2 linked regions of the Nothobranchius furzeri genome follow. The protein of the gene in region 1 interacts with the protein of each later gene in a biochemical or structural test. Links are inferred from orthologs where the notes say so. Each region holds a gene or a part of one and is shown on either strand. Other genes may lie near its edges. The genes, in order: mmp2 and metalloproteinase inhibitor 4.

Evidence for each region.
Region 2: the proteins of mmp2 (region 1) and metalloproteinase inhibitor 4 form a complex in vitro, tested with the Homo sapiens proteins (2 studies listed by BioGRID). The link is inferred for Nothobranchius furzeri from reciprocal best matches to the Homo sapiens genes MMP2 and TIMP4.

Annotation. Positions count from the first base shown.
Region 1 is NC_091749.1:73,111,875-73,115,691, forward strand, and holds part of mmp2 (72 kDa type IV collagenase), read left to right. Parts: intron 1-147; coding exon 148-303; intron 304-396; coding exon 397-523; intron 524-3,817.
Region 2 is NC_091743.1:63,393,852-63,398,307, reverse strand, and holds the start of metalloproteinase inhibitor 4, read left to right. Parts: upstream 1-1,389; 5' UTR 1,390-2,039; coding exon 2,040-2,178; intron 2,179-4,456. Other genes in the region: syn2b (synapsin-2b), read right to left, coding at 202-344, 1,096-1,158. UniProt on the Homo sapiens protein: Complexes with metalloproteinases (such as collagenases) and irreversibly inactivates them by binding to their catalytic zinc cofactor. Known to act on MMP-1, MMP-2, MMP-3, MMP-7 and MMP-9.

The sequences.
Region 1 (3,817 bases):
GGCGGGTTTTATTAGCTACCAAGTACACAGAGAAGCACCTCCAATAAGCAGGAAGCCATTAGAATCCGTGCTAGCAGCGGTAGTTCGTTTGTCCGTGAATGCAGAGCGAGATGAATCATGCTCCCGCTGGTCTGGCTCTGTCTTAAGGCTACAGTTTGTTTCTGGTGGCGGCCCATGAGTTTGGTCATGCTTTGGGTTTGGAGCACTCTCAGGACCCCGGAGCACTGATGGCTCCTATTTACACGTTTACCAAAGACTTCAGACTTTCTCACGACGACGTTCAGGGCATCCAAGAGCTCTACGGTGAGAAGAACAAAAGAAAAGTGTTTTCGTCTTTAGAGCAGAGTTAAGAGTAGCAGGCGGTTATGTGTGACTTTTCCCTCCGCTCACCAACAGGAGTACCAACAGACAAGCCGGTATCTCCAACCCAGGGTCCCGTCACTCCAATGGACATCTGCAGGGAGCCGGTTATCTTTGATGCTGTTGCACAGATCAGGGGAGAAACCTTTTTCTTCAAAGACAGGTAGTTTTATGTTTTACCTGAAAAATTGCCTCAAAGAAAAATGAATGTAATGCACGTTGGTGACTTGGTTGCTTGAGTAGTTCAGAGGGATGCTGGTCACTTTTATACTGTACACACAAACAGTGATCAGATTTTTACAACCTAATTACTGTTTTGCACACCAGAGTCTGTTGCTTTAAATGGATGTGACAATCGGCAAACCATTCCTCTGCTTATGCAGTGGCAACCAAAATAGTCATCAATCATAAACACAGTCTACAATCCTGCTCTCCACTGGCGCCAGTCCTCCCAGAGCCTCACAAGTTCATGCAGAGCTTTTGGGTTGTGCACTAGAAGAGATCTCTGATGGTTTGGTCAACAGTCCGTGTAGTTTGTGCGTTTTTCTGCTGGAAGGCTAAAATGTAAACATTGATTCTTTATCATTTTGAGGTTTGCATGTCTGTGTGCCCATAAACCATAAAAACAGGTCCAGAGCAAATACGTCAGCAGACCTAAGCACCACAGGGTCCTGTTCTGTTTATCTCAAGGTGAAACCTGCGGAACACAAACCACACTGTTGCTCACAAATCCTGTTTTACTGCAGAAGTGCTTTTCACCTGGCTTATCCACACATTCACTGTGAGCAGCAGAGCAGCTCGGGAGCTCAGAGTGCTCCACAGACCATGAAGGTTTGGCCCAGTTGTCAGAAATCAAGCTGAGCTGCTATTTAATTCCCTTGAAGGAGTCAGTGGGTTGAGGATTTGGAAAGACACATAAAAAGAAAAGGTCTGCCTTTTCTCTTACTTTCTTGTGACGACGTTGACACGGAAACGCAATAAACAGATGTTTCATCTAAAACTTGCACAACAGTGAAGAGATTGCTTTGTTGCAACAGTGGTGCGTGGCTGTAAATGTCATCATTGAAACGCTCATTAGGAGGAATAATCCGTGAGGATTGTACATTTGTGGCGTGAGCAACACAACCACATGTGTGGGTAGCACATCAACAACTAAAAATACCAAAATCTGCGGGTATTCGCTTACACTGTAGATGGTGTCAGTGGCTTGTGGAAGAGCCAAACACAACCACAACAGTTTAGCTCCTCCCACTCATGCTGGTCACCAGGCTGGTAACTGGGGCAGTGATTAATGTTGCGATGATGATATTGCTTGCGAAAAATAAAAACTTCACCCAGGAACAAAAATAATCAAAAACAAAGAAATAAAAAAATCATAAAAATGAGAAAAGCAAAAGATGTGAGGAAAGGGAAAGGCGTTGTCTTCGTCCGCTTATCCGGGTCCGGGTCGCGGGGGCAGCATCCCAACTAGGGAGCTCTAGACCGTCCTCTCCCCGGCCACTTCCACCAGCTCCTCCGGCAGGACCCCAAGGCGTTCCCGGACCAGATTGGAGATGTAACCTCTCCAACGTGTCCTGGGTCGACCCGGGGGCCTCCTGCTGGCAGGACATGCCCGAAACACCTCCCCAGGGAGGCGTCCAGGAGGCATCCTGACCAGATGCCCAAACCACCTCAACTGACTCCTTTCGATCTGGAGGAGCAGCGGCTCTACTCTGAGTCCCTCCCGAATGTCCGAGCTCCTCACAAGAAACAAGAACGAGAAAAGGCGATCTGTGGATCCCGGGAAAAGCAAAAAGAACAGAGCAAAGCTAACTCAGGTGTTTGCTAACCATCTAAATTAAGTGCCGTCCGCCTCGGGGGCGGGCCTCTAACCTATGAGAACCCAACCAATTGGCCAAATGGGTGAAGAGCTCTATTTGATTTGTTCAAAAACATCATGCTTCCGTTTGATTGACAGAATGCATCATGTGTGGCAATTTATCTGTTCTTTGCGATATGCATATTGTGCATGCTGATGTCGCGATAACGATATATTTACGATATTATGGGGGGCGACGGTGGCACAGGAGTTAAGTGCTCGCCCATAATCGGAAGGTTGCAGGTTCGAGCCCCGCTCAGTCTGTCACTGTTGTTGTGTCCTGGGGCAAGACACTTAACCCACGTTGCCTGCTGGTGGTGGTCGGAGGGACTGGTGGCGCCAGTGCTCGGCAGCCTCGCCTCTGTCTGTGCACCCCAGGGCAGCTGTGGCTACATCGTAGCTCATCACCATCAGTGTGTGAATGTGTGAATGACTGATTGTGTTGTAAAGCGCCTTGGGGGGTTCCATGACTCTAGAAGGCGCTATATCAAATAGAGGCCATTTACCGTTTACCATATTGTGCATGCTGATTTCGCGATAACGATATATTTACGATATATTGTGCAGTCTGTTTGGTTGTGGGACATCTTCCAGTTTTTTGACTAGTAGTTGTTGAAGGTCGGTGTTGGTAACTCCAGCACATGCAGAATATCCAAGATGCCCAGTGGCTGTCATGTAGGTGCCAACCAGATGAACACTGCAGGCAGCAACGGGAGCTTGGAGCAAGAGGGCATGCCACCATGAGAGGATGTCAGTGCATTTGTTGGGGGAGCTGCACAAACATGAATCCGTGCTGCTCCTTCTGCAGATGCACACTCCTGACTTCTAACTTGTTGTAAAGGTGACTCAAGTGTGGTGGAAGATCCATTGTTACAACTAAAAGAACTGAGCAAACTTGCATTTTTACTTTTTGTTGTAAATTTAAAATCAGGAAAATGTCACAGCTGGATTACTTACTACCTTTATCATCTAGATTTGTTTTTGTGTTGGGCTTCTTTTTCCATGCACAGCCTTGTCAAGCTGTTTAACGCGTTAATGCACAAATAAGAAAACAAGTGATATTTTCTTGTGCACAAAATATGTCAGGGCATGGTTTAGAGGACATGCAACATGAAGTAGAGAGCCAGGGTGGCAGCCAGGAGACTTCTTATTTTAAATAAGTAAGGTCAGAACCATGTGCAACAGGTAGGAACGGAGACCGAGCCGGGTTGAAGTAGAACTGAGGAGGGGAGCGAAGACAAGGGAAACAGCTGTGATGATACTGATAACAATGGGCAGGTGTGAGTCATTAACCAGGCTCTTAGGCAGAAAAGCACAAAGACGCTGGGAGAAGCAGAACTGTAGATTAACTAAAGATACAACACTGAAAACCGAAGGTTGGTAACCAGTGGACTGAACTAAAATAAAAACAAGGAGCACAGAACTAAACCCCGGAAGAGAAAATACAAGGAGGGAGGGTGACTGAAATGATCCAATCTAAGGACACTAATAATAGAAATAATCTAAACTGGGCACAAGGTGCAGGAAAACATACGGGGCACCAGGACAGCGGGCTAGGCTGAGGAAGCAGCTAAAAGAATACAGGGGAGACAAGGCTAA
Region 2 (4,456 bases), on another chromosome or scaffold:
TCCGTGGACACGCCCCTGAGGTAAACATACAACAAGCAGTAAAATAACAACTTCCAGAGGTAGGGCGTCTCTTCAGGACAACAGCCCGTGACGTAGTAATCGGTCTGCACATTTCCCCAAAGAAGCACATATCGACGAGTAGCATGGATAGTCGGAACACCAGGAAGTTCCGGTAGTGGAAACACGCTGAATGTCACTTACATGTAGGCTTTGTAGTCTGCACCAATTTTCTGGACCCTGATGTCGTACTTGGCATCTACAAATGGTTCTGTTGTACAGTAGGTCTGAGTGATGGCTACAACACTCGCAATATCCTGGAAGTCACTCACATTATCCACTCGAACCTAAAGAAAAATGATATATAATTAAAAAAAGTACTCATTCATTGTAAAAAGAGTTTGGGAATGGTTTAAGACTATGCCACTGTTTTAGATGTAAAACTAGATTTTTAGTCACATTCCTTCCGCTAGTTTTTTCTTTACAAAATTTTAGTGATAGAAATTTTAAAGGGGACATATTATGCAAAACGTACATTTTTCATCCTTTTGTACGGCCATGTGGGTTTTTACTGCCACTATAAACAACCCAAGTATAAACAAAAAAATCTGTCCATCTGTTTTTTGTGTGGGGTTTGGTTTTAGGAAATATGTGCCTAAAACACACTGTTTCTAAAAGTCCCTGTTTGTGATGTCACAAATGAGGAAAGTAGAATAGAACCATCCCTCATGTGCGAGAGGGAGCTGCTGTCGGAGGAACAGAGGCTCTACTCTCAGCCCCTTGTAGGCATCAGAGCATAGTAGCCTGAGCGGAGGATTGGGGGGGGGGGGGGGGGGGGTGTCAGTTCCAGCCTGTTTTCTTAAAGCGACCAATCCCTGAAATGGCTCATTCAGGAAGGTTCTGAATCTGTCAAGAATAAAAAAGCTGACATTGCTTTATGCGAGAGGAACTTAGAGTAAAGAACTTTGATATCGACAATGGAACTATTATGAATTTAAAAAAGATCACTTTAAGGCTGCTTTCACTGCATGAAATGTTTATTAAACTAATCAGTTTTCCTGTAAATGTCAGTTTGTTCATGTTTTTGGATTGTAGTACCTTTCCCATTCCAGAGTGAGCATGCCCAATCTTCACCACTACCGGGAAACTCGGTGTTGTGATCTGCAAAACAAAAGAAAAAGACAAATGAGAAGCAGCAGAAACACAACAGATGCAAAGCACAAGATGTTCTAAAAACACCCTGCAGTGGAATTCAGAACCTGAGGCTACAAGCCTCATGTTTCCTGTCTGGAAGTCTTTGAAGACTAAATAGTTTGTAAAGACCCCCCCCCAAAAGTCTTTAAAGAAACAAAAAAATACAAATGTGCTGTAATAAGAAACAGGGGCTTTGTAATTCTTGCTAGCATTAAAACAAATGAATCAAAAGTATGGCGTTCAGATAAATACAATTACAGTTTTAATGTTTATAGGCTTTAATGCAAGATGAACCCTAAACCTGCAGAACAGATACGTCTTAGATGAGTTTATTGTGGCCGATAAGAGTTTTCTAGGGGAGAAGAGATGAAGAGTTTTAAAAGAGAGCTAAAGAAGGTGCCAGGTTTTTTCTCTGCATTTTAGGAGGCTGTGCTTAAATTGTTGAGCACATAAGAGGCTCCCTGTGTGCGACCCTCTCAGCATTCAAGGCCAGAGTGAGAGGGGATCTAACTATTGTAAGTCTCTGTGTGTTGTCTACAGAGAGGGGGAGACAGAAAGAAAGACAGGAGAAGAGAGCAGCAGCGGGAGCAGCAGCAGCCTTCAACTCGAGTTATTTGCTGCAGCTTGAATTCAGAGTTGTACTCTAAACTTATGAAAACATTTCTATCCACTGTCGCCTCTCAGCTCTGCAGAGCTCGCCCTGTCACTTCGGCCCCGTCGTCTCACCCTCCACACAGCCCCTCTGCAGACTATCGACCTGACTTGACTTCCATTAAACTTAACGGGAAGAGAAGAGGCTGCGGAGTGTTCATCAAGTGGAGAAGCGATCAGAGGTAGCCAGAGCTGTCATGGCCATGTCCCAGGAACGGAGCGTGCATCTGGGGCTGTGGATGCTCCTTTTGCTTGGAGCAGGCGTGGAGGAAGCTGTGGAGGGATGTAGCTGCCACCCAGCACACCCACAGCAGCTATTTTGCAGCGCTGAGATTGGTGAGTCATTCTCCAAAGATTCATTAACTTTTACTAACACTGCTGAGTATTTCCTCATTGTCTTAGTTAATTATCGTAAAACCGATTCTCTCATTGATTACTTTAATTCAGTCAATGGAGAGCAGAGGACCAATCCATAACAAGCACTAAGAAGAAATCCGCTGAGCTGAACTGTTGGGGGTTTTCATTCCTTGAAACTGTAGCTTTATGAAATTTAATCATAATTTATGGGTGTTCCTCAAATTACAGACTAGCAAGACTTATGAACAAACAGTTTGTGTGTCATTAGCTTTAAAAACAACCTCAATCTGTACAACACTGCCTACCAGAGTGCCCCCCCTCCCACCCCCCCCACCCAAAAACACTCCCATCCAGTTCTTTCTTGTTTGAGCCAAAACCAACACTCTGCTTTGACTCAGAGTACTTGGCTCTGGGTTGTGGAAAGCCAGAGTATCTGCTCCTGTCAGAGGTTACACTCCAGCAGGGGAGAAGGGGGCGGAGCCAAAAGAAAGAAATTACTTTTTCTCCATCTTGTTTTTTAATTGGTCTCCGTCTCCCTTTAGGTTTAGGTGGTACGCAATTTCAAAAGACTTTTAATAATGAGTCTGCATGGAATGGAAGACAGGGCCTGTTTTTCTACCACGAGGACTAAAGCCAAGTAAAATCTGGGCTAATGGGATGCAATGAGAGCCACAAACACATGAATTGTGTCATTCATGACTGAGACAAGCATGATTAATCTGAATTATATTATGAGCCTTGGTGTTTGGAGGTTATATTCTAATTTTTAGGCCTGCTTGAGTGAGATTAGATCAGTGACAAAACAACCTCAGAGAGCTTAGATACCATCAGGGTTTCATCACAATTGTGATTCTTGAGTATTGTGTCCAAACTGTCTTTAAAACAGTCATATGAACCATGAAAGCTCAGCCGTAACCTATTGACTCATTGAGTGCAGCTAAACAGATCTACATGTTATATTTATTGATGCTAAAGCTTTTAGTACACAGGAGTGAATGTATCTGAAATTATAGTTAGTGACACAAACAAAACGCAACAAGAATTGCTTTTTAGGAGAAAGAAACATTTGTGTAAAATTAAAATTAGACTGTTTGTTTACATCTTCTCCATGTATTCATGTTGCTGCGTGCACGTTTAAAGCTTCAAATTTATTTGAGATAAGAACAAGCACCAGTCACAAAAAATAAAATAGTATTAGCAAAGTTGTTTGATTCTAGCCTGCAGGTCAGGATGCTAACCACCCAGCTGCCAAAGATATGTGTTTTTTAACAAAGCAACATGGAATTTTGTAGTTTGATGGGTTACTGAAATTCAATTTACTGTTTCCATTGATTTCTGTCCTTATTTGAGTTACATATGACTGTTCTACTCAAATAATTAAAACAAACTGTTAAATAATGTTACACTTAAACCCTCCATCTTCCTCCATCCAATGCTTGGGTTGAAATAGTTGCACTTTTTCATTTTACAGCTTTGTTTGAGTTTTAAAAGGTGTTGAACACTTGTTTAATTAAAACATCTGCAGTGGGCTCTAGTAGGAATGAATGCCTTGGAAAGCCTGGTTTACGCTTCTCCGTCAGCTCCGCAAGGGACAGACACGCACGGATTGACGGAAGCGTTTTGCTCTCATACTTCTCCGTCTCCTGGAGAGTGTTGCAAAGCAATTGCCTGGCAGGACAACAGAGGGCGTAGCGCTGTTCTGTGGTATCCTGTCGTGTATCTGTCCAAGATCGTGTGTTTTTATTGTGTTTTTTGTGTATATAAGAGACTTTTAACACGGACATATTTGTCTCTCATTCTCCCACCGCTTCATGCACTCCCCACCTCTAAACCCACGTTTCCTGTCATTTAAATCCACAAATAAAATGCTTGCTGCGCATCTTTTCACTCATCCAGTCACTGGGGAATTAAACGTTCATATTTTTAGAGTTTTTTCGCGAGGTATTCTTCAAGCTTCTCCATGTCTGCCGCTAGTTATCCTCGGCTCTCTTTGCAATGGCGGCGCTGTAAACAACAGCGGCGTCCTGACCAATCACAAGCTTGCGTAATCCGTCTCGTTCGACGGATGTTTAAAAAAGTGGGCTCGACTCCATACGTACTTGCATGCCCTACGCAAGGACGGATAATGGCGTTGCGTGTCTCCGCACTGACGCAGACGGAGAAGCATAAATCAGGCTTAGGTGTGTGTGTGGGTGTGTGGGGTGGGGGGTGTCAGATGATCTTGTTTCAGGAACTAGCAGAATGCCACATCAGAGGA